Linked DNA regions of Xenopus tropicalis. Each later gene encodes a partner of the first gene's protein in a complex. Links are inferred from orthologs where the notes say so. Each region holds a gene or a part of one and is shown in the gene's direction. Other genes may lie near its edges.

Region 1 (7,971 bases):
TGCCCTAGTATTGTCACACTTCCCTCAGCTTCTAGACAACACCATATCTGAGTGAGAGAGCACATTACAGTGGCATCTAAGGGAAGGCTAAACTGCAGGAACATGAGTATACATTCCTTTAACTTAATCCAAACATCAAATAAATCCAAAATTCGATTTCAAATTGGGTGTCAGGTGTTTTAATTTAAAACTATTCAGGAAAATGTTGGCTGCACCAAACAATAATGGTGGAAGTCTGGAGCTGGCATTAAATTAAGCGTAGGGGAAGTTATTCTGTGTCGTTGACAAGTTCAAATCTCAAGGAGAACCTAGTTACGTATAAAAAACAGAAGGTGCTTTCTACTATTACACAAGTCAAGCATAGCCGGCAAGCACCAGGAAATGAGCGATTAGATGAGCGATTAGACGGTACAGGTGTCTAACGGCCATTAAGCATATGTTTCCTGGCATCTCACCAACATGCTGGAGATGTAATCAGGGAAGGGAATGCCCAATATATATACATATATACACACACACACATACATTATAAAAACCCTTCTGGTTACAGGTTAAAAAATCCAGCAGGCAATAGGAAGCGACTTACCCAGTGATCCAGCAGGCACCATACTCTCTGTGCTGTTGGGTTCCTCCAACACTAGCAATGAATAAATACCCCAATGCTTGCTTCGAGCAGCCATTCCCAGATACTGGAAAACCCCAACTGGAGGTTTCAGGACGTGTAAATGAAGTATAATGAGAATGGAGGAACCGAGAGTGATAGGGGATATTAGGTTAATAGAAATTTGGTCTCAGTGATGGAATATACAGAACTGAAAAGGTACAAAACTCCAGAACAAAATGGTTTGGATCTTAAACCTGTAACCGACGAAATGTAATGCAAGTAAATGAGAAAAGAAAATGCTATTTTATTAACTGTGAAGCTAAGACTGAGTTAAGCATTCTTTCTCCCCACAAATAACTGTAACCCATACCTCATGTACAGGTATAAAATATGAGGATTACCATGTACAGGTATGGAACCTGTTATCCAGAATGGCACCTGGGGTTTTACAGATAATTTGGATCTCCATACCTTCAGTCAACTAAAAAATAATTTAAACATTAATTAAGCACAATAGGTTTTGCCTCCAATAAGGATTAATGATATCTTAGTTGGGATCAAGTACAAGGTACTGTTTTATTATTACAGAGAATAAGGATTATTTGTTTATAATAGAGTCTATCGCATTGTTTGCTATTTATGTATATTAGATGTTTTTGGATCAGTCTGTCTTTCTTGAGAACTGTGTGCTTTTAGATTAAATATACCATATTAGCATTTGTACAGTGTTTATTACATGCTCTGAATTTATTTCTCCACCTGGATGATTTTCTGCCTGCAATTTATTATTTGCCACGGTGGCTCAGATTTTATCACTGCAGCTTTGCAAATCTGTAGCCTGGGTTCAAGCAAGTTATAGGGGTCACATACAACCATGGGGGTGCAAGAGTGTCCCCCTTAGTGCTCAACAATATTCCCTCTAAGCAGTGCAGATTTTGTGGCCAGTGCACACAACACTGTGTGAAAACAATTTAAAAAAAAAAAAAATCTGACCTGAGCACACAGTATTCAAAAATGTGCACACCCAGGCCCAGATTTGTGGAGAGGCCACAAAGGCCCGGGCCTAGGGCGGCAGAAATTTAGGGGTTTTGAATTCTGCTCCCATACGGAGGAATGGGGACCTCTCCCCACTGCTCCATATGGGAGTTTAAATGTATGGTGTGTGCATGCGCGCTTGTGCTCTCTGCTGCGGCCGGGGACTCGCACTCTCTGCTACGGCGGGGGGGGGGGGCTTGTGCTCTCTGCAGTGCCGGGGGGGGCAACCAGTGGGGGCGGTCTAGGGGCACATAACGAAAAAGGAATTAGTGAACATTGGCACTCATTTACTAGCAATTGTGCCCCCAAAAAATTGTAGATCCCTACAAAAAGCTTTGGATCAAAAATCTAGTGCTTGGTGCAGAGAGCAACACCAGGAGGTTCAGTTCAGCCCTGTCATTAGGGCCTCAAGGCAGGCAGTATAGACAGGGCTCAGTAGCCGGCTGCACCTCCTGCCTCTCCTGTTTTGCACCTCAGAAGGACTCAAAAAGTAGGGGCAGGTAGGTGGTGGGAGGAAGGACACCTATGTGCCTCAGAGACCTGAGCTGTTTTTACACTGCCAATTGCCAATTGTTCCTTTTTTGCATTTAGCACAGTGCGTGATACATTATAATCGAGCCTTAATATGTTCTACCCATGACTGTGTGGGAGTCCTGCATTACCACAATTTCCTCTCACACTCCAAAAACAGACAGGCAGATTAACTGGCTCCTGATGTGACTCTAGTATGTTGTATGCATGTGCTAGGGACTTAGCTTGTAAGCTGCACCGGGGCAGGGACTAATAATAACGATGATTATAAGAGGTCATTTACTACTCACGCTGGCAGAAGTGCCACTTGGTGTTCATTCAGGCAGAACTTGTGCCCAGGGAAATAGTTGTGCTGGGCACATAGTGCAGCGTCAGAGGGCACAGGTCAGCCCTGAAAATATGCTCTGGGTTAGCAATATAAAGGATTTCATTTTTGTTTCTTCTCTATGAGTGAAACAACTGAGAATCTTTCACCTTTCCTTAACTTGGATTAATTGCATTAATATCTATCAAGGCTTGAAGGTCTCCTCTCACCCTGCCCAACAATCTGTCCAGCCAATTTGCAATAGTTTGAACCCCTAGTTCATTGTCAAGGACAAACTATCCAACACTCCTGGTGCCTTGATGCTCACGGTGATTAAGCAACATACGGTCACAGGGAGTTCCTCAGGAATTACACCCTATAAGCTGTTTGTATTGCAGATAACTGCTCAGAATCATGCATTCATTACACAACGCAGGCACAGTTCATTTCTTCCGCTCATGCTATGGGCTTGTGGCTTTTCAGGGGCTGGGACAGATGATGAGGAAGGGGTTTGAGGTGATGGGGGGTTGGGTAGGTTTCATACTTTGTTGCAAAGTCTGATGATTATCATCTGTTTAGTTCTTAGTTGTTTGGCAGAAGAGCCCTGATCTGCGGGACACAGTAAGTCAACATTTCGCTTCTTTCAAATTTCCCTCCCTTGGCTTCGGCACCTGTCCCTCTGAATATGACCTTACGAGGGGCCTCGTTCCATTTTACAATCATACCTAAGCAATTCCCTAGGTATGATTATGATTTCTCTGTTTCACACCCTGCAAACAACAAAGATAAGGATCATGAATCTCATTGGTGATGGAAAGGAGAAAGGGGGCAGAAGTGAAAGAAAGACATTTCCTTTGTTAGATAACTTGGCACAAAGCAGAAGTTGGTACCAATGATGCCAGTGAATGGACCTGTGAGCTCATAAGTGACTGGGTTTCTTGCCTACATTGTTATATGGTGTTCTCCATAGGAAAGCATTTATGCATGGGGGCTTGCCTTAAGCGCTTACATAGGGTATTGTGTTGACAGTTTGTGGTTAAGGACCATTGGACTCCTGCAAAAAAGTTATGTACCAAGGAAAGATTATTTATATTGGTTATATACACACTCAGAGTAGTGGGGCCCAGAGTAATGGTTGGGGGCCCAAATAAAAGGATCCTTAGGGCAAAGTTAGAGGAAATTTAATATTTGCTCTCCAAGGTACTCCTGGCAGTCAGTCCTGAATGCCAATTATGATGTTTGGGCACACACATAAAACACCTTTGTTAATAATAAGGGTGACTTCAACCAAGTGTTTGACGTTAAACAGGTTGTTCAACTTTGAGTTCACTTTTATTATGATATAGAAAGTACTATTCTGAGACAATTTGCGACTGGTCTTTATTAGATGTTTTATATTTTAAATGATTTTACTTTTTGTTCAACAATTAAAAGTCAGAAGCGGAAGGCAGTATGAAATGGCCGCAGGCACACCCTGTCACGGCTACCTGGTGCTGTACATAGCACACAATTTCCATGCACAGATGAAGGGAAATCATTTCAAAACTCATTAATAAAGACCAGTTAACAAGTTGCTTAGATTTAGTCTATAACATACTAAAAGTTAACTTAAAGGTGAACCAACACGTTTAAAAGGGGTTTGAACCCAAAAGTCCAAGAAACAATGCTCTATACACCAGTAGCCCCAACAGTGCTGGATCCAATGCCTTTATTGTTAGCACATAGGTTTCCATGGCTGACAGATGTCTATCTATTGTAATCCCCACAAAACTATCTTTTTTCCTGGCTCAGGTTGCCTTCTGTGGGTGATAACTGAGAGAAAACACACACTTTCACCTTTTTGGGGGGTTTTAATGTTGGGTTTGTATGCCCTTTGCACTGGATATAAATGGAGAGTGGCGGGGAGCAGCTAGCTGGCAGGTACAGGTATGGGATCTGTTATCTGGAATGCTTGGAACCTGGGTGTTCTGGATAAGGGATCTTTCTGTAATGTGGGGTGCATTTTTAGGCTGCTAAAAACATTTGAGAATAAAAATCTGTTTGGATTGTTTTGCCATCAACATGGTTTTGTCTTAAATCAGTCAAAAATGAAGAACTGTTTTTTTAAATGGAAATGTATAGGAAATGGCATTTGTTTATACAGGTATGGAATCCCTTATCCGGAAACCTATTATCTAAAAAGTTCCGAATTATTGGAAGGTCATCTCCCATAGACTCAATTTTAATCAAATATTTTAGGTTTTTAAGAATGGTTTGCTGTTTCTCTGTAATAATAAAACAGTACCTTGTACTTGATCCCAACTAAGATATAATTACCCCTTATTGGTGGCAGAACAGCCCTATTGGGTTTATTTAATGTTTAAATATTTTTTTAGTAGAATTAAGGTATGGGGATCCAAATTAGGAAAAACTCCTTATCTAGAAAACCCCAGGTTCCGAGCATTCTAGATAATAAGTCCCATACCTGTAATAGGTTTCTGGATAATGGATCCCATGCCTGGAGCAGCCACAAACGGCAGCCTGTTTGCTATGTCTGCCTGCTAAGCACTGCTCTGTACATAATCAGTTTATATCCCAGTTGCATTTGTCACCCTGCAAGCTGCCGTGCTAAAGAAAAGTTCCCCTGACATACATATCCTAACTGTCACCTACAGCTGCAACACAACCAGACAACTTCTTCATTTGCCTGGTCATTTCTGCTGTATAACACAGAGTCACACAGACTGGGTAGTGCATAGTTTTGGTGAAAAGGGAAGAATGAATTCTCAGAGCTTCTCACTATACTCAAAATGTGAGGTTTGAGCTCACCACAGAAAAACTTTTTTTTCGCCCACTTTTTATTCATTCCTAGGGGTTTTTTAAGACACGTATTTAATAAATTGTGAATTTAGGAATAAATAGAACGTGGGTGCATTATTCTGTGGTGAGCTTTAATTTCATACTTTGAGAAATCTTCCCCATAGCTTCCTTTAAGTCACTTAAGGCTCAAGGGCTTAATTAAAAAGCAAGTGAAAAGAACCAGTCAGTTCCTAATTCACCATGTTTTTTTTACCAACAATGCAGCATGTCTTCTAAGAGTTTCATACTAACTGTGCGGCTCAGCATCGCAGCAATACGGGGACAAGTCAGTTACACCCATGAACACATCCCAGTATGGGACCGGCGGAATTATGAGCAGGTCTGGGTGGGGTCCCTTGCACCCGTATCTACAAATGCACACAATGTACCAAGGCAGGCTGGGTGGTTGCATTGTTGCTCGCTGCAAGTTGCCGAGGAGCATGCATGGGTGCAAGTCCCTTCATGAATAGTGTCAATACATGCTCTGTTATGTGCTCATTCTTCCACCTTGCACTTTATTGCATTCATAAATGAACCCTTCTGTCTCTGCTTTGAGGAATAAGGTGCAATGTGCAACATACAGAACGTGCAGCTGCAAAGGGCTCTGGGATTAACACATGTATTAAGGAGGTGATATTTCCAGGGTTCCCCTCTGGGTGTTGTATCTATACATATAACTGACTGACACCCAATGAATCGTGATAGTACAGATCCCAGCAAATTTAGAAAATCTTCACACTGGGATTCATAAATGAGCACTAGTGTGTATAATATATAAGGATGGTGCCAGGGGTTGGGGACTGCAACTGTGGGATACTGTGGATATTAGGGAAGATGGTGTTAAAGGAGAAGTAAATCTTACTTTCAAAGCTATTAAGCTTTTTACAACTGAAAATGTAATTAATTTTGTAACAACAACACAGCCTGCTAGCCAGTTCTTCTGACTGTACAGTTGATGAGAACATGTTTTGATGGAAAACAGAGAACTGTTCGGACATTGCTCTGCTCAGGATAGGGATCAGAAACCTCAGATGCCCTTTCCAATCTCATTCATGAGCCGAGCAACATCAGAACCGTTCTCTGTTTTTCTTGTGAGCGTGTATCTGTCTGGCCATACAGTTAGAAAAACTGACCAGCAGGTGGGGCTGTTGTTACAAAGTTCATTATATTTGCAGATATAATCAGCTTAATAGCTTTGAAACAAGCAAAAATATAATGTAAATATCAAAAGTGCTTAGAAGAGCATCCTGACCAATTTTACATTTATTTTTTTATGGTTTACTTTTTCTTTAAGAGAAAAGACTCTAGCTCTGTAGCGATGACAAGGGAAGACAAGATAGCATGAACCATCTAACATCTAGCCTCCATCAGTAGTTGAATTAGAACTTCCATTAATGTCAGACTGACCGGGAAAATAAGGAAAAATCCCAGTGGGCCTGACCCTGTTGGAAACTGCCACCTACCCACAAGCCGGCCACCCCAACTCCCTTCTCCACTGGGAGTGGGTGTGGCTGCTGCGAATAAAGTAGCGCAGCAGAGCGGGAGCAGCGGTGGCTGGGTGATGGGCCCTTGAGTCGGGTACCCAGTGGGTAATGTATATTTCAAGAATAGGTTATCTTCCCTAGTTTTGCCGGTAAAGTTTATAAATAATTTTTTGTGGGACCCAGTAACTTCCAGTAACAGTACTGATGTTGCCATGGGAACAGGCAAGAAGAAGAGAAGTTCTGCCCAACAACTTTTTGTGGTGTAAAACAGACAACTGAGCAATAACAGAGTTCCATATCTTTCCTGCCAATCAGGTCTTTGCTTTCCTTCCTTTTCTCTGTGCGCTACTCTGGGGCCTGTTTGTAAAGATACTGCTGATATGTGGAAGCAGAAACATTACCGGCTTTCTTCATACTCTAGATTGCATAGTGATAAGATATTAAAACATTTTTCCCAGCTGAAAATCTGCCCCTCAAGACATTAAGCACAATACATTATCTGCCCACATATTGCTTACTATTCATTTTCACAGAGAGACCTTTTAACAGGGATTTTCATCTTTGAGGTAACTTTTAATATGATGTAGAACAGTGCTGTCCAACTGTCAGCCCGTGACCCCCCTCTGTGTGGCCCCCCACCTGTCTGGCTGCTTTGATTGCTTACCTTTGTGTAAGCTTTAAATGGTATCAGTACTGAGATTAACTGCCCCCCTGCATGGTTCTCACCTCAGATTCAGGCTGTAATCCCCCATATTGTTTAAACATGTAATCCCCTGTGTTTTTCACACCTTTTAATCTCTGCATTGTTCACCCCCTGCAGTGTTCACACCTCAGGCTCAGGCTGTAATCACCCCCATTGTTCCCCTGTTCACACCTCAGACTCACCTCAGACTGTAGCAGCTTATACAGGCAGCATAGGACAGGCAGAGTATGGCACATAGACAGCATAGGGCAGGCAGAGTTTTTGCTCTACTACCACCATTAATATGGGTATGGTCATGTGATAACACAGGTGTGGTTTTAAAAAGGGGAGTGGTCAAAACCGGCTTCCATTATCGGCCCTCCACAACGTAGCTGGAAAAATTTTGGCCCTCAGTACCACAAAAGTTGGACAGCATTGATGTAGAGTAATATTCTGAGACAATTTTCAATTGGTCTTAATTTTTTATTATTTG
Region 2 (7,287 bases), on another chromosome or scaffold:
AAGTTTTGCACCTTGCCATTATTTATATGCAGTATGTCCTCATGCTATGGAAAATGTCTACCACCTTCATGTCTTGCAAGATTTATATTTACAGACTGTGAAACCAGGGCAGGTTAATTTAATCAAGTCAAGTGGCCACTTCACAAAGCCTAAGTCTACATTTCTGTTATGGTCAAATCTCCAACAGTTTCTTCTCATCTGTCTGTTTTTTTTCCTTCTTTCAATAGACTACTCTCGCTTTACAATGTTCTTGCTTTTTAAGTCTCTTTTCCTCTATTCTTCATGCCTCCATCTCTGGAAGGTGGTCAGTTCACTGGAACTTTGCTGTCTCTACACGAAGTGTCATTCCCTACTAGCTGGTGGGGAGCATGGACAGAGGTCTTTACGGTACATGTGCATGCCATGTGGTGGTTTTCGGCTTGCGCTTTTTTTTTTTTTTTGTTATGATTTTCTCAAATCCAGTATCTTATAAGAATGCCATTTCATTATTAACTGTACTAATTAGTTCATCTGAAGGATCTTAATAAACAGGATGCATGTTTAGAGCCAGCTATGGTTAATTGGAGGAAATTGCTCATATTTTAATCATTTTGGAAAAAAATCTGCTTCTACTTGAATGGCAAGGAAGTCTTCCCAACATTATGTACTTTCCCACCACCCCGGTACTGCAGTAATTAGAACAGTGAAGTGTCCATAAGCATTACAGTGTGAGTGCTGACTTTTGTTGCTCTTTTTGTTCTTCCAGCTTGCAATCCCGCCGCCTGCCGTGCTGTGGGCCGTGGCTTGCAGCCAAAGGGTGTACGCGTGAAGGAGACGGCGGATTTTAAGGTTTATACTAAAGGCGCAGGAAGCGGTGAACTTAAAGTTGTGGTCAAGGGACCAAGTGAGTGATATTTAGAGAAGCCTTTGTATTCTGTTAAGTTTATTTTTTTTTATTTTTTTCTTCTTGACACATAAACATGGTATTTCATTTTTGGCTCAAATGTTGCTACTGTCCTATTTTGACGGCAATACATTTGTTGACTACAAAACATTTTATTCTATGTGGATCAGTCTCCATTTTGAATTGGTTAGCTAGCCATACTGCTCATGAAGTTTGTCCTGTTTGGGTGACATTTACTGTTGTGCTTGCAGAGGGTACAGAGGAACGTGTCAAGCAGAAGGACCTAGGAGATGGTGTGTATGCCTTTGAGTACTATCCAGCTACACCTGGGAACTATATTGTTACCATCACATGGGGCGGACAGAATATCCCCAGAAGGTGAGCTAGCTTCTCTCTTCCCCCTTTCTCAGCGACTTTGGAAGGACTGTTGTCACTAGCAAGGTATTCATTTTTCCTCCTTCAGTCCATTTGAGGTAAAAGTTGGCACTGAATGTGGACAACAAAGAGTTCGAGCATGGGGCCCTGGTCTTGAAGGAGGGGTGGTTGGAAAATCAGCTGACTTTGTTGTAGAAGCAATCGGTGATGATGTTGGGACTCTCGGTAAGTTCATCAACCTTGTGTATCGATACTCAATTGTGATGAGGCTGTTTGATATCGGTGCAATGCATTTTTTACACTGTCTCTTGTAGGGTTTTCTGTGGAAGGTCCATCTCAAGCTAAGATCGAGTGTGACGATAAAGGAGATGGGTCCTGTGATGTGCGCTACTGGCCACTGGAACCTGGAGAGTATGCGGTGCATGTTCTGTGCAACAATGAGGACATCAAACTGAGTCCTTTCATGGCTGATATCAAACCAGCCCCCAAAGACTTCTACCCAGAGAAGGTAAACAACTGCTGTGAGCAGCTACCCTGTTGCATGCATAGTTTAGCAGAACTTTTAATCTCCTGTTTTGTGGAGATCTATTGCAAATTCTTATTCATGGAAGTGCATGGCTCTGTGGGAGATTGCTTGGGTCGCAGTGCCTTTCAAACCTTTTCTGTGCTCGGTTTACTCCTTGTCTATGCGTATGCATTAACTGCTGCTATTTTTGAAACATTTAAGGTCAAGGCCTATGGTCCTGGGCTAGAGAAGACTGGGTTGGCAATAAACAAACCAGCAGAGTTCACTGTTGATGCCAAACTTGGAGGAAAGGCTCCTCTCAAGGTGTCTGTGCAGGTATGTCTCACTCCCTTTTTTTTAATAAAAAAAGAATAGACTGACTTGCTTCATTCTGGAAATTCCTAACTCTGACTGGTCACCATGCAGGATTCTGAAGGCACTCCAGTGGATGTCACAACCAAAGATAATGGAAATGGCACATACAGCTGCAGTTATTTGCCAAAGAAACCTCTGAAACACACAGCTGTGGTGTCTTGGGGTGGGGTGAACATTCCCAACAGTCCTTTCAGGGTAAGGCCTTTATATTAACAGGTTGACACTAAAGGAATAGCAAGATAGTAGCTCCCAGTAGATAGCAGAATAGCACTCAATAGTAATGAAAATGATTACATTATCCCTTGTATTTTTGTATTGGGTTGTATTATACCTGGTGATAATAGATCTGGTGATAATATCCTTGAAAAAACAAACTTGGTGATAGCTATATATAAAGTAATTTGTATCCACCTGCTTACCTTGTAGATGACTATTGGTGCTGGAAGCCACCCTAACAAGGTGAAGGTTTATGGACCTGGTGTTGCTAAGACTGGCCTGAAAGCTCATGAACCAACCTACTTTACTGTGGATTGCACAGAAGCTGGTCAAGGTGAGAAGTGTTCAGGGTGCTTTGTCAAAATTTGATTTTGAGTTTGTTCTTTGTAAAATTCTACTGTCTCCTGCTTCTCACTCCAGTATATGTTTCTTTCCACTCAGGTGATGTGAGTATTGGAATTAAATGTGCCCCAGGAGTTGTGGGCCCGGCTGAGGCGGACATAGACTTTGACATTATCCGCAATGATAATGATACATTCACCGTGAAGTACACTCCTCCTGGAGCTGGGAGCTACACCATCATGGTCCTGTTTGCTGACCAGGTGACTGTCTGCATCATTGCTTTGTGGTACTATTTTGCTCATTAGGAGGAAATATGTTCTATGCTTTCTAAATCCAACTTTTGAGAAAGTAAGGATTTGTGCTTATTTAACTTTCTAACCACAAACACTGGAATCAATCACTTGGCATATTACAGTTCTAGGTCTGCAGCTCCTACTGACCTGAAAAGTTAGAAGTCTCTCATATTTGTTATTGAAGAATTCACCACTGACAAAATCCTTCTGTGTTCTAGGCTACTCCAATGAGTCCATTCCGTATCAAGGTTGATCCATCACATGATGCAAGTAAAGTTAAGGCAGAAGGACCTGGACTAAATAGAAGTGGTAAGAATTGTTTCAGTGGCAAACAAGCTATTCAACTATTGGCATTGTCTGCAGTTGGTTACCATCATGACTTCCCAGAATCCTTCATTATGTACCTTCCTGTGTGTTTAAAGGTGTAGAAATTGGAAAACCAACTCATTTCACAGTTAACACCAAGGCTGCTGGAAAAGCCAACCTAGACGTGCAGTTTACAGGTCCAGCCAAGGGAGAGGCTGTGAAGGACTTTGATGTTATTGACAACCACGATAACACCTACACCGTAAAATACACTCCAGTGCAACAGGTACATCTGCTGAATCTCTTCTTGGTTAAATTAATTTTCATTGGAATGTCTGATCTGGTAGTGACTTTATTCTGCTTTTTAAAATTTTATTTCACCTTATTTTTCACTCTAGGGTAACATGGGTGTAAATGTGACCTATGGTGGTGACCATATTCCAAAGAGTCCCTTCACCGTTGGCATTGCCCCAACTTTGGACCTCAGTAAAATCAAAGTTTCTGGACTTGGTGACAGTATGTATTTTTCTAGATTATGAATTTGGAAGATCTTTAGCTTTTGATTTACAACTTACAAGCTTTTATATTTTCCCCTGCCCAGAGGTGGAGGTCGGGAAGGATCAGGAGTTCACAGTAAAATCCAGGGGTGCTGGAGGACAAGGCAAAGTGGCTTGCAAGATCACAGGACCATCCAACAAGTCTGTTCCTTGCAAGGTGGAACCTGGTCTGAGCCCAGATAACAGCACTGTCAAATTCATCCCTAGGGAGGAAGGCCCATATGAGGTAGACGTGACGTACGACGGAGTGCCTATACCTGGTAGCCCATTTCCCGTTGAGGCAGTTCCTTCAACAAATCCTTCAAAGGTAGAGCTCCTGTGTTAATCACTTAACATAGAAACTTAAATATACTATGGCCAATGTTGGTTTGATATTGGTCAAGGAGAACTCATGAGTTTTGGTGTTGCAGGCAGGGCATCCATTAGTGGATGCAAATTTATGCTCACCAATTCCTGGGGTCCTGGAAATCGAACTTTTGTTAAGATAACAATTCTATATAGTAAAAGAGGCCTACCGGGTATTGAATAGTTGTCCTTTTTGAGAGTGTAGTTATGCAGGATAGAATTTCATTAGCTTAACTTTTTTTTTTCTTTTGCAGGTCAAAGCTTTTGGACCTGGTCTAAAAGGAGGCAGTGTTGGTTCCTCTGCACCCTTTACTATTGACACTAAAGGTGCAGGCCAAGGTGGGCTTGGTCTCACTGTTGAAGGTCCATGTGAAGCCAAAATAGAATGTCTAGACAATGGAGATGGAACCTGTTCTGTCTCTTACTTGCCTACAGAACGTGGTGACTATAATATCAATATCTTGTTTGCTGATACACATATCCCTGGATCACCTTTCAAGGCTAAGGTTGAGCCATGTTTCGATCCTTCAAAGGTGACCTGTTCTGGTCCTGGTCTGGAACATGCTCAGGTTGGAGAAGCTGGTAAATTTAATGTGGACTGTTCAAATGCTGGCAGCGCTGAGCTTACCATTGAAATTATCTCAGACAATGGTATGCAAGCCGAAGTACACATCCAGGACAATGGGGATGGAACTTACACCATTACATACATCCCACTGTACCCAGGGGTCTACACTATCACCATTAAGTATGGAGGACAGATGGTGCCCAACTTCCCAAGTAAGCTGCAAGTTAAACCTGCCATTGACACCTCTGGGGTTAAAGTCTATGGACCAGGAGTTGAAGGGAAAGGTAAGTGCAACACACGAGCACTGTAAATATTTTTCGGGAGAAGTCTGTGGATTGAAGTTTTATAGATGTTTAACAAGGATTTTCTGCATTTTTCTTCTCCAGGGGTTTTCAGAGAAGCTACTACAGATTTCAATGTGGATGCTCGGGCTCTAACTAAATCTGGAGGGCCTCATCTCAAGACCGTGGTCTCCAATCCTTCTGGCAACTTTACTGAGGCATTTGTGCAAGACAACGGAGATGGCACATACAAAGTGGAATATACTCCATATGAAGAGGGTAAGCCACACAGTAATTGGGCCATTGGTGACAGTTTGTCACAAGATTTTACTTTACTAATGTATGACTGAAACATAATTGTCTGAGGCACTGAACAATGAAATATTCTTCTGCACCTCAACATTCTGGACACAAGGGTGCAATCACCTTAATTCCCTTAAACAGTCAAAAATGAACATTGTAGTAACATAACCTCTTGTATCGGTTATTGATTGCTTTATATGTTACTCCGTATGTCCAATGTATGTAACCCACTTATTGTACAGCGCCGCGGAATATGTTGGCGCTTTATAAATAAATGTTAATGTAAAATGTAATGTAAATTGAAGGACATAACAAAACTAAGTTGTAGACTGACGACAAATGTATGAATAATGCTATAAAATGCCTTAACATGCTATGTTCATTTGTGTAAGTGAAACAAAATAAAAACTATAAGTTACAAATAAACTAAGTTCTAGAATGGTTGAACCCACTTCTAAAATATGTTTTCCATCAGGAATCCACTCTGTTGATGTAATCTACGACGGAAGCCCAGCCCCAAAAAGTCCCTTTGTGGTCCCTGTGACAGAAGGGTGTGATCCAAGCCGTGTCAGAGTCCATGGCCCTGGCATTGTGAGCGGTACCACAAACCAACCAAACAAATTCACTGTGGAGACAAGGTAATTTCATAGTATTATGCTGTGCTTTCCTAAAACTACACTCTTAACTTCACTTGGGTTACTCCTGCCAAAGAGAATGCACTTAAACTGGTATGTTATTTTGGAGTAGTAAACTATAGCCCTAAGCATAAGTTTGTTTAAAGCAACATTTTGATTGGTTGCTCTAGGATTAACATGGCTGAATATTCCTTTCATGTTTTTCTCCTTTCACCAATTTAATAGCAAAAAAAAAATCTTAATGTTGCATAGGTATGAAGCAATATCCTAAGCATTTTCCTTTCCATCTGTAGAGGAGCTGGTACAGGAGGGCTTGGCTTGGCTGTTGAAGGTCCATCAGAAGCAAAGATGTCCTGTACCGATAACAAGGATGGCAGCTGTTCTGTGGAATACGTACCGTACGAACCTGGCACATACAACCTTAATGTCACATATGGTGGACATCAAGTTCCAGGTAAGATTTAATGCGTGTAACCATGCTAATGTCGGGTATCTGGTTTCTGCTGAGTAACTGTGCTCATTACTTCATTGCCATGCAGGTAGCCCCTTTAAAGTTCCAGTTAGCGATGTGGTCGATAGCTCAAAAGTCAAATGTACCGGCCCTGGTTTGAGCCCCGGTCTTGTAAGAGCAAACGTCCCTCAGTCATTCAGTGTGGACACAAGCAAAGCTGGAGTTGCTCCTCTGCAAGTCAAAGTTCAAGGTCCCAAGGGTAAGCTAAAAATGTATTTTAGTAGGTGGGAGATTGCTTTATTACATTGTGTCCAAAGGGTTTATGACACGATTATGTTCTCCACGCCACACTTGGTAAATAGATCTATTTTTATTAAAAAGGTTACTTTGCTGAGCAAGTAGGTACCATAGCTTAAGGTCATCCTTTAAAGGATCAGTGATCATAACCTTGTGAGGGTTTTTCGAACTGTCTGGTCAACAATTGTATAATGTTTGATATTGATAGGTATTGTTGAACCAGTGGAAATTGTGGATAATGGAAATGGCGTCCAGACTGTCAACTATGTGCCAACTAGAGAAGGACCTTATAACATCTCTGTACTTTATGGTGATGATGAGATACCTCACAGGTAAGAGCCAAACTCTGTTCTCTGATCTTCATAAGTTTTTCTGGAATTTTTGGTTTCTTTTAACCTTGTGTTCTTTACTCTCAGCCCATTTAAGGTTAGGGTTCTGCCAACTCATGATGCAAGTAAGGTGAAGGCAAGCGGACCAGGCTTAAACACCACTGGAGTTCCTGCCAGCTTGCCTGTGGAGTTCACTATTGATGCCAAGGATGCTGGAGAGGGCCTG
Region 3 (7,935 bases), about 120 Mb from region 1:
AAATCAATTTAACAAATCTGAATTATAAAACAGAGTCTATGGGAAGTGATCGTCACGCTTTGTGGATAACTGGTTTCCGGATCCTATATCTGTACGATGTACTTGATAGTAACAATTATCCTTTTGGTTTTAATGCTAAATCATTTTTTGCAGACTTAAAGGGGTGGTTCACCTTTAAGTTATCTTTTAGTACATTATAGAATGTCCTATTCCTAGCAACCTTTCAGTTGGTCTTTATTATTTATTTTTTATAGTTTTTGAATTATTTGCCTTCTTCTTCAATCTCTTTGCAACTTTCAGATAGGGGGTCACTGACCCCAGCAACCAAAAAAACAATTGCTCTGTTATGCTACAGTTTTCTTTTTATTGTTTATTTTAATAAACAATAGGTCTTCTCCTAAATATATAATGGTCTCTCATCCAAACCACTCCCTGGTTGCTAAGGTAACTTGGACCCTAACACCCAAATAACTGCTGAAACTCCAGACTGAAGAACTTCTGAACAGAAAACCATATAACAAACTACAAATAATAAAAACGTAAAACCAACTGCAAATTGTCTCAGAATATTACTCTCTATATCATACTGAAAGTTAACTCAAAGGTGAACAACCCCCTTAAGGTATGGTGACCCAAATTACAGAAAGATCCCTTATCCAGAAAATCCCAGGTCCCAAGCATTCCAGAGGGTATAATACCTTACATAGACTGAGACATTGGCATGGCTGAGACGTGTGTGACAAAGTGACCTCAGTAAGGCAAGTGTCATCCATTTCATCACATGATTGTGGGCTGGATGTTAAATCCCTATGAAACAACAAGTTATACGTATGATCTTTAAATTCATAATCCACATCAGGCTCAAAAATTTCAACTTCAACTTACTCACAGGCTCACCATACCTCCCCTCAATCCGGATGCCCGGCTATTGTAAACATATGATAATGCCAGACTTGTAACACATATATTCACTCCACTGGCCATATCCAAGGTGCACAAACACTATCCAGAACATGTCCAGAAATAAGTATACTTTTTTTTTACTTTTTCTTTAATCAGACACAACTGATTTGACAGATTGGAAGGAAGCCATGACAGTCTATATGTGACTCATAGGAACCATTCCCCACCCCCTAAGGCTCACAGTATCACTTGACCCCTCCCTCACCTTGTTCCATTGCAAAGTGATGGATTCTGGGACTTAAAGGCCCTCTGTTTTACAGAGAATCTGTGCAGCAGCTGCTCATGTGGCACATAAAACTAGAGTAACCAGATAACTTGAAAATTCAATGACCCATCTAGTAAATACATGTTGCAGGGCTGCACTGATTGCATTTTAATTAAATTGCAAACAGTGCAGCCCTTCTAGATAGATTTTCTAGAGCTGTCCCTAAATTTTCCTATCACATTCACACACTAGGGTCAGCTTAGTCAGAAGCCACTTAAGCTGCCTGTATGTTTTTTGTGTGGGAAAGTACCCAGAGGAAACCCACGCAGAGAGAACATACAAACTTACCTGACTTATTCAAACCATCTGTGCACCATTATAATCTTTTAAAAAATCCTGTATAGTGCAGTGACAATTGGTATGTACAGTGGTGTGAAAAACTATTTGCCCCCTTCCTGATTTCTTATTCTTTTGCATGTTTGTCACACAAAATGTTTCTGATCATCAAACACATTTAACTATTAGTCAAAGATAACACAAGTAAACACAAAATGCAGTTTTTAAATGAGGGTTTTTATTATTTAGGGAGAAAAAAAATCCAAACCTACATGGCCCTGTGTGAAAAAGTAATTGCCCCCTGAACCTAATAACTGGTTGGGCCACCCTTAGCAGCAATAACTGCAATCAAGCGTTTGCGATAACTTGCAACGAGTCTTTTACAGCGCTCTGGAGGAATTTTGGCCCACTCATCTTTGCAGAATTGTTGTAATTCAGCTTTATTTGAGGGTTTTCTAGCATGAACCGCCTTTTTAAGGTCATGCCACAACATCAGGTCAGGACTTTGACTAGGCCACTCCAAAGTCTTCATTTTGTTTTTCTTCAGCCATTCAGGGGTGGATTTGCTGGTGTGTTTTGGGTCATTGTCCTGCTGCAGCACCCAAGATTGCTTCAGCTTGAGTTGACGACCAGATGGCCGGACATTCTCCTTCAGGATTTTTTGGTAGACAGTAGAATTCGTGGTTCCATCTATCACAGCAAGCCTTCCAGGTCCTGAAGCAGCAAAACAACCCCAGACCATCACACTACCACCACCATATTTTACTGTTGGTATGATGTTCTTTTTCTGAAATGCAGTGTTACTTTTACGCCAGATGTAATGGGACACGCACCTTCCAAAAAGTTCAACTTTTGTCTCGTCGGTCCACAAGGTATTTTCCCAAAAGTCTTGGCAATCATTGAGATGTTTTTTAGCAAAATTGAGACGAGCCTTAATGTTCTTTTTGCTTAAAAGTGGTTTGCGCCTTGGAAATCTGCCATGCAGGCCGTTTTTGCCCAGTCTCTTTCTTATGGTGGAGTCATGAACACTGACCTTAATTGAGGCAAGTGAGGCCTGCAGTTCTTTAGATGTTGTCCTGGGGTCTTTTGTGGCCTCTCGGATGAGTTGTCTCTGCGCTCTTGGGGTAATTTTGGTCGGCCGGCCACTCCTGGGAAGGTTCACCACTGTTCCATGTTTTTGCCATTTGTGCATAATGGCTCTCACTGTGGTTCGCTGGAGTCCCAAAGCTTTAGAAATGGCTTTATAACCTTTACCAGACTGATAGATCTCAATTACTTTTGTTCTCATTTGTTCCTGAATTTCTTTGGATCTTGGCATGATGTCTAGCTTTTGAGGTGCTTTTGGTCTACTTCTCTGTGTCAGGTAGCTCCTATTTAAGTGATTTCTTGATTGAAACAGGTGTGGCAGTAATCAGGCCTGGGGGTGACTACAGAAATTGAACTCAGGTGTGATACACAACAGTTAAGTTATTTTTTAACAAGGGGGGCAATCACTTTTTTACACAGGGCCATGTAGATTTGGAGTTTTTTTTCTCCCTTAATAACGTAAACCTTCATTTAAAAACTGCATTTTGTGTTCAATTATGTTATCTTTGACTAATAGTTAACGGTTTTTGATGAGCAGAAACATTTAAGTGTGACAAACATGCAAAAGAATAAGAAATCAGGAAGGGGGCAAATAGTTTTTCACACCACTGTATATACTGTTTATACTGAATATATATATTTGTTAGGGGGCTCACACAAAGTAACATCTAATATCTCTTGGTGAAGTATCCGGTTTTCCATTTATGACACCACCTATTAATAGCATGTAAGCTCTTTGGGGCAGGGATCCTATCCCACCTGTGTACAGAAACTCATAGCATTTATATATTTACTCTCACTCTCTGATTGATGCTGTTCCCTGTTTGTGTTTATGTATGTTTATGTGCATTGCGAACACTTTTGGTGCTATGTAAGAAGTAACAAATACAATACAATAAAAAGTGGTGGCATGGAGATGATTGAAAGTGGAACAACAATGAACAACAGTGGAACTAGACAGAAATGACAGCAGAGTGTGAGACCTGGGGAGTGAAGACGCACACACACCCACACACACCCACACACTGAGAGCTCAGTCTGAGCACTGTTTCACTACCAGGCTGGATTCATTCACAGCATGAGGACTGGCACCTCCATTCCCGGTTTTATCTTCATGATAAGTAAGAACTTTTTACAGCTATATTATAGATATTTAATTGCAGCAGTAATACTGATAAACCCTTTTCAGCAGCAACACCAATATGCTTCATCCTTTTTGTCTGACACTTGTACACTGTCTGACAGTCTGACACTCATCTTGCACAGACTTTCATGCTTTGATTGCATCATGGAGAATTTATGTCATTATTTTATACTGGAATTCCTGCTTATCCCAAGTAATTGATTCACTAAAATCCCATTTAGAAATTAAATTCTATACTTTTTGTATAGTTGGTATATGGGTCACTTCCAGGGTTTAAAAGCTAATTGACTTACAAGCTGGAAAAAGTTGGAGAGCTTTGTTTGTAAAATCAATTTTAAGGGGTGGTTTATCTCTGAGTTAACTTTTATGTAATAGAATGGCCAGTTGAAAGCTCATTTGGTCTAAGATATTTCTTTTTTCATTTCTTTTTGATTTTGTTTGTTTTTGTCAAGTAAAAGTGGGTGTGGTCTTAATATTAATGTTATTTTCCGCGACACAATTTGCACACTGCAGGTATTATTTCTTCCCCTATTTATATCCCTTTTTAGGTGAAAAAAAAACAGGCAGACCTATTAATGTATGTAGAGATTGATATTCTAAGTTATTTGTCATTGATCTAGAATTTTCTTTGAAGAGGTAGTTCACGTTTAAATTAACTTTAAGTATGAAATTGGAGTGCTATTCAGAGACAATTTGCAATTGATCCTCATTTTTTTATTATTTGCAGTTTATTAACCAAAACTCAGTTTAGAAGCAGATATACACCTCATTTCAAGGGGTTGTTAAATTAACCTGATGATATTCTGAGGCAACTGCAATTGGTCTTTATGTTTTTTTATGTGTGTTTTTTTTAATTATTACAATGTTTGTTTAGCAGCTCTCCAGTTTGGCATTTTAGAAGCTACCTGGTTGCTAAGGTCTAATTTAACCTAGCAACTATAAAAAATGAGGCACAAATTGAAAAGTTGCTAAGAACAGGGAATTCTTTAACATACTGAAACTAATTAACCTTAAGGTGAAATACCGCTTTAAACTGAATTTTATCCATATTATTGTTTTTTTTTATTACTACTTATCTTTCTATTGATGCCGTCTTCTATTCATCAACCAGACTTCCATTCAAACCCTGGTTGCCAGGGTAAGTGTAAGTGGGCACAGCAGATTAAAACTGAAGAGCTGCAGAGCAAATAGTTAAAAAAAATATAAAGTATCAAACCTAAGGGCCATTTGCAGTTTGACTAAAATACTACTAAATGCTTTAAACATTAATTGAAATGACCTGTTATATGTATATATTGTTAAATCTTACAGTTGTGTAATTGTGATATCAAAGGGCCAGTAAGAGCAATGCCATATAAAGCAAATTCAGGTGCCTATTAAACCTTAATACAGTGCTGTCCAACTGGTGGCCCGCGACCCCCCTCTGTGTGGCCCCCCACCTGTCTGGCTGCTTTGATAATTTACCTTTGTGTAAGCTTTAAATCTATCAGAACTGAGATTAACTGGCCCCGTGCATGGTTCTCCCCTCAGATTCAGGCTGTAAACCCCCTGTATTGTTTAAACATGTAATCCCCTGTGTTGTTCACACCTTTAAATCCCTGCATTGTTCACCCCCTGCAGTGTTCACACCTCAGGCTCAGGCTGTAATAACCCATATTGTTCTCCTGTTCACACCTCAGGAACAGTAGAAACCATGCACACTATAAAAAGAACATATACTGAGGTGGTACTGCAATTAAAAAGTTTTTTAATATATAGTTATTGTGCAGACTGTAGGAGCAGTGCCAGCATTGTGTCACTGTAGGCTGCCTGTATGTGCCATACTCTGCCTGCCCTATGCTTCCTGTGTGCCATACTCTGCCAGCCCTATGCTGCCTGTGTGTGCCATACTCTGCCTGCCCTATGCTTCCTGTGTGTGCCATACTCTGCCTGCCCTATGCCGCCTGTGTGTGCCATACTCTGCCTGCCCTACCCTGCCTGTGTGTGCCATACTCTGCCTGCCCTATGCTGCCTGTGTGTGCCATACTCTGCCTGCCCTATGCTGCCTGTGTGAGCCATACTCTTTCTGCCCTACCCTGTCTGTGTGTGCCATACTCTGCCTGCCCTATGCTTCCTGTGTGTGCCATACTCTGCCTGCCCTATGCTGCCTGTGTGTGCCATACACACAGGCAGGGTAGGGAAGGCAGAGTATGGCACACACAGGCGGCATAGGGCAGGTAGAGTATGGCACACACAGACAGGGTAGGGCAGGCAGAGTATGGCACACACAGGCAGGGTAGGGCAGGCTGAGTATGGCACACACAGGTAGGGAAGGCAGAGTATGGCACACACAGGCAGGGTGGGGCAGGCAGAGTATGGCGCACACAGGCAGGGTAGGGAAGGCAGAGTATGGCACACACAGGCAGGGTGGGGCAGGCAGAGTGTGGCACACACAGGCAGCATAGGGCAGGCAGAGTATGGCACACACAGGCAGGGTAGGGAAGGCAGAGTATGGCACACACAGGCAGGGTAGGGAAGGCAGAGTATGGCAAACACAGGCAGTGTAGGGCAGACAGAGTATGGCACACACAGGCAGGGTGGGGCAGGCAGAGTGTGGTGCACACAGGCAGGGTAGGGAAGGCAGAGTATGGCAAACACAGGCAGGTTAGGGAAGGCAGAGTATGGCAGGTTTTTGCTGTAGTGCCACCATTAATATGGCTATGGTCATGCGATACATTGGGTGTGGTTTCAAGTGGGTGTGGTTTTAAAAAGGGGAGTGGTGAAAAATAGCTTCCATTTTCAGCAATCCACCACGGAGGCCGGAAAAATTCCGGCCCTCGGTGCCACAGAAGTTGGACAGCACTGCCTTAATATATTTCACCAATGAGCTGATCACCAGCACTATGTCAGCCAACTTGCTGTTACCTTATATACAGAGATTATGTCACTTTTGCTTTTTTATATTGCACTAACTGCAAACTAAATGCTTTCAAACTTCAAATGCAGAAACAAAGAACGTATAGCCAGGCTTACACAGATCAGGTTGGACTCTCATTGGAGGATCCTTTTGCACATTAATGCAGCTGCAGGCTGAGGAAAGCTAGGGAAATGTTTTATTGTGTCATGTTGCTATAAGAATACAATCTTAATGTTGTCTGACTACAGCTCCCAGCATGCCTAAACCTTAATAATATGTTACATTACTCAGGGATTGAAGTGTGGGTTATCGGGGCAGTGCAGCAGGGTTCAGATCCCCATTAATAATGTGAATTTTTGACTAGAGAAGATAATTGTAACATCAGCATATCTGGTTTACCTTCAAACTAACTTTTAGTTTGTTATAGAATGGGCTATTCTTAGCAACTTCAATTTTTGATTGAAGTTTGATTCAAGTTTTTGAATTTTTTGCTTTCTTCTTCCAACTCTTTTCGGTTTTCAAAAGGAGGTCACTGACCCCAGTAGCCAAGAAAACTATTGTTCTGTGATGCTACAGTTTGAATTTTATGTTATATTTTATTACTTATCTTTCTATTCAGGCCTCTCCTATTCATATTCCAGTGTCTTAACTGCTTGGTTGTTCAGGTAATTTGGACCCTAGCAACCAGATAGCTGCTAAAATTCCAAACTGGAGAGCTGCTGAACAAAAATCATAATAAATAAAAAACCACACATAATAAAACATAAAGACCAATTGCAGTTGTCTCAGAATATCATCAAGTTCATTTAAAAACCTCTTGAAATGAGGTGTATATCTGCTTCTAAACTGATTTTTGGTTCTTGAAATTGATCCATTGGTTTAATTTAGGTCAAAAAGTTCAAGAAACACTGACCTAATGGGAGAATATAGCACCTTTCTAAGAAGCATTAGCGTGAAATGAAAACTAATTTAACTCATTTGAGTTTTTCAGCACCAAATGATGAAATGCTGTGAGCACATCTGTAACCCACGGTTTTGTCACTGAGGCCGGAAGGCTTTGCAGAAGTAGGTCTAGGATTCAGAGCAGATAGAGCCGGGGATGAGACGCACTGCGGGTAGTGTGGCTGGTGAGGTGTCATGCAAAGCTTCTTCTGCTTAGGAACATATGAATTATCTTTCTCATGCGCTCAGACTGAAACTGTGCCCCAGGCACGCACGTAGAAGCACCGCCCCAGTGATATCTCAGTGCTAATTCCCTTCCCCGCCAAATGAAATCCTAACACAGTGCTGTCCAACTTCTGTTGT

Evidence for each region.
Region 2: the proteins of itgb7 (region 1) and flna are in contact, whole or in part, in a crystal structure (PDB 2BRQ), measured with the Homo sapiens proteins. The link is inferred for Xenopus tropicalis from reciprocal best matches to the Homo sapiens genes ITGB7 and FLNA. Residues at the interface, in NP_000880.1 of Homo sapiens: Pro776, Leu777, Tyr778, Lys779, Ser780, Ala781, Ile782, Thr783, Thr784, Thr785, Ile786, Asn787, Pro788; in NP_001104026.1 of Homo sapiens: Thr2263, Gly2267, Ala2268, Gly2269, Gly2270, Leu2271, Ala2272, Ile2273, Ala2274, Val2275, Glu2276, Gly2277, Pro2278, Ser2279, Lys2280, Ala2281, Ile2283, Phe2285, Phe2311.
Region 3: the proteins of itgb7 (region 1) and itgae are in contact, whole or in part, in a cryo-EM structure (PDB 8ZJF), measured with the Homo sapiens proteins. The link is inferred for Xenopus tropicalis from reciprocal best matches to the Homo sapiens genes ITGB7 and ITGAE. Residues at the interface, in NP_000880.1 of Homo sapiens: Val201, Leu202, Pro203, Ser206, Thr207, Val208, Pro209, Ser210, Lys211, Arg213, His214, Cys216, Pro217, Arg219, Leu220, Glu221, Arg222, Leu255, Asp256, Ser257, Pro258, Thr291, Phe292, His293, Thr294, Ala295, Gly296, Asp297, Lys299, Leu300; in NP_002199.3 of Homo sapiens: Phe36, Leu38, Arg91, His92, Arg93, Gly94, Leu111, Arg113, Leu118, Ser119, Ser120, Leu122, Glu196, Glu198, Arg230, Tyr233, Glu234, Phe237, Glu238, Cys239, Asn240, Ser259, Gln260, Val262, Met263, Leu266, Arg300, Leu401, Gln403, Phe406.

What each region holds. Positions count from the first base shown.
Region 1 is NC_030678.2:147,383,772-147,391,742, forward strand, and holds the start of itgb7 (integrin beta-7), read left to right. Parts: upstream 1-3,002; 5' UTR 3,003-3,095; intron 3,096-7,971. UniProt on the Homo sapiens protein: Integrin ITGA4/ITGB7 (alpha-4/beta-7) (Peyer patches-specific homing receptor LPAM-1) is an adhesion molecule that mediates lymphocyte migration and homing to gut-associated lymphoid tissue (GALT).
Region 2 is NC_030684.2:31,797,035-31,804,321, forward strand, and holds part of flna (filamin-A), read left to right. Parts: intron 1-312; exon of another isoform or gene 313-368; coding exon of another isoform or gene 369-387; intron 388-745; coding exon 746-883; intron 884-1,134; coding exon 1,135-1,261; intron 1,262-1,346; coding exon 1,347-1,483; intron 1,484-1,572; coding exon 1,573-1,766; intron 1,767-1,985; coding exon 1,986-2,099; intron 2,100-2,189; coding exon 2,190-2,333; intron 2,334-2,564; coding exon 2,565-2,688; intron 2,689-2,795; coding exon 2,796-2,956; intron 2,957-3,207; coding exon 3,208-3,298; intron 3,299-3,411; coding exon 3,412-3,581; intron 3,582-3,693; coding exon 3,694-3,811; intron 3,812-3,896; coding exon 3,897-4,159; intron 4,160-4,451; coding exon 4,452-5,049; intron 5,050-5,151; coding exon 5,152-5,325; intron 5,326-5,824; coding exon 5,825-5,987; intron 5,988-6,277; coding exon 6,278-6,438; intron 6,439-6,523; coding exon 6,524-6,694; intron 6,695-6,940; coding exon 6,941-7,064; intron 7,065-7,148; and 1 more. UniProt on the Homo sapiens protein: Promotes orthogonal branching of actin filaments and links actin filaments to membrane glycoproteins. Anchors various transmembrane proteins to the actin cytoskeleton and serves as a scaffold for a wide range of cytoplasmic signaling proteins.
Region 3 is NC_030678.2:30,816,717-30,824,651, reverse strand, and holds the start of itgae (integrin alpha-E), read left to right. Parts: upstream 1-3,595; 5' UTR 3,596-3,668; coding exon 3,669-3,711; intron 3,712-7,935. UniProt on the Homo sapiens protein: Integrin alpha-E/beta-7 is a receptor for E-cadherin. It mediates adhesion of intra-epithelial T-lymphocytes to epithelial cell monolayers.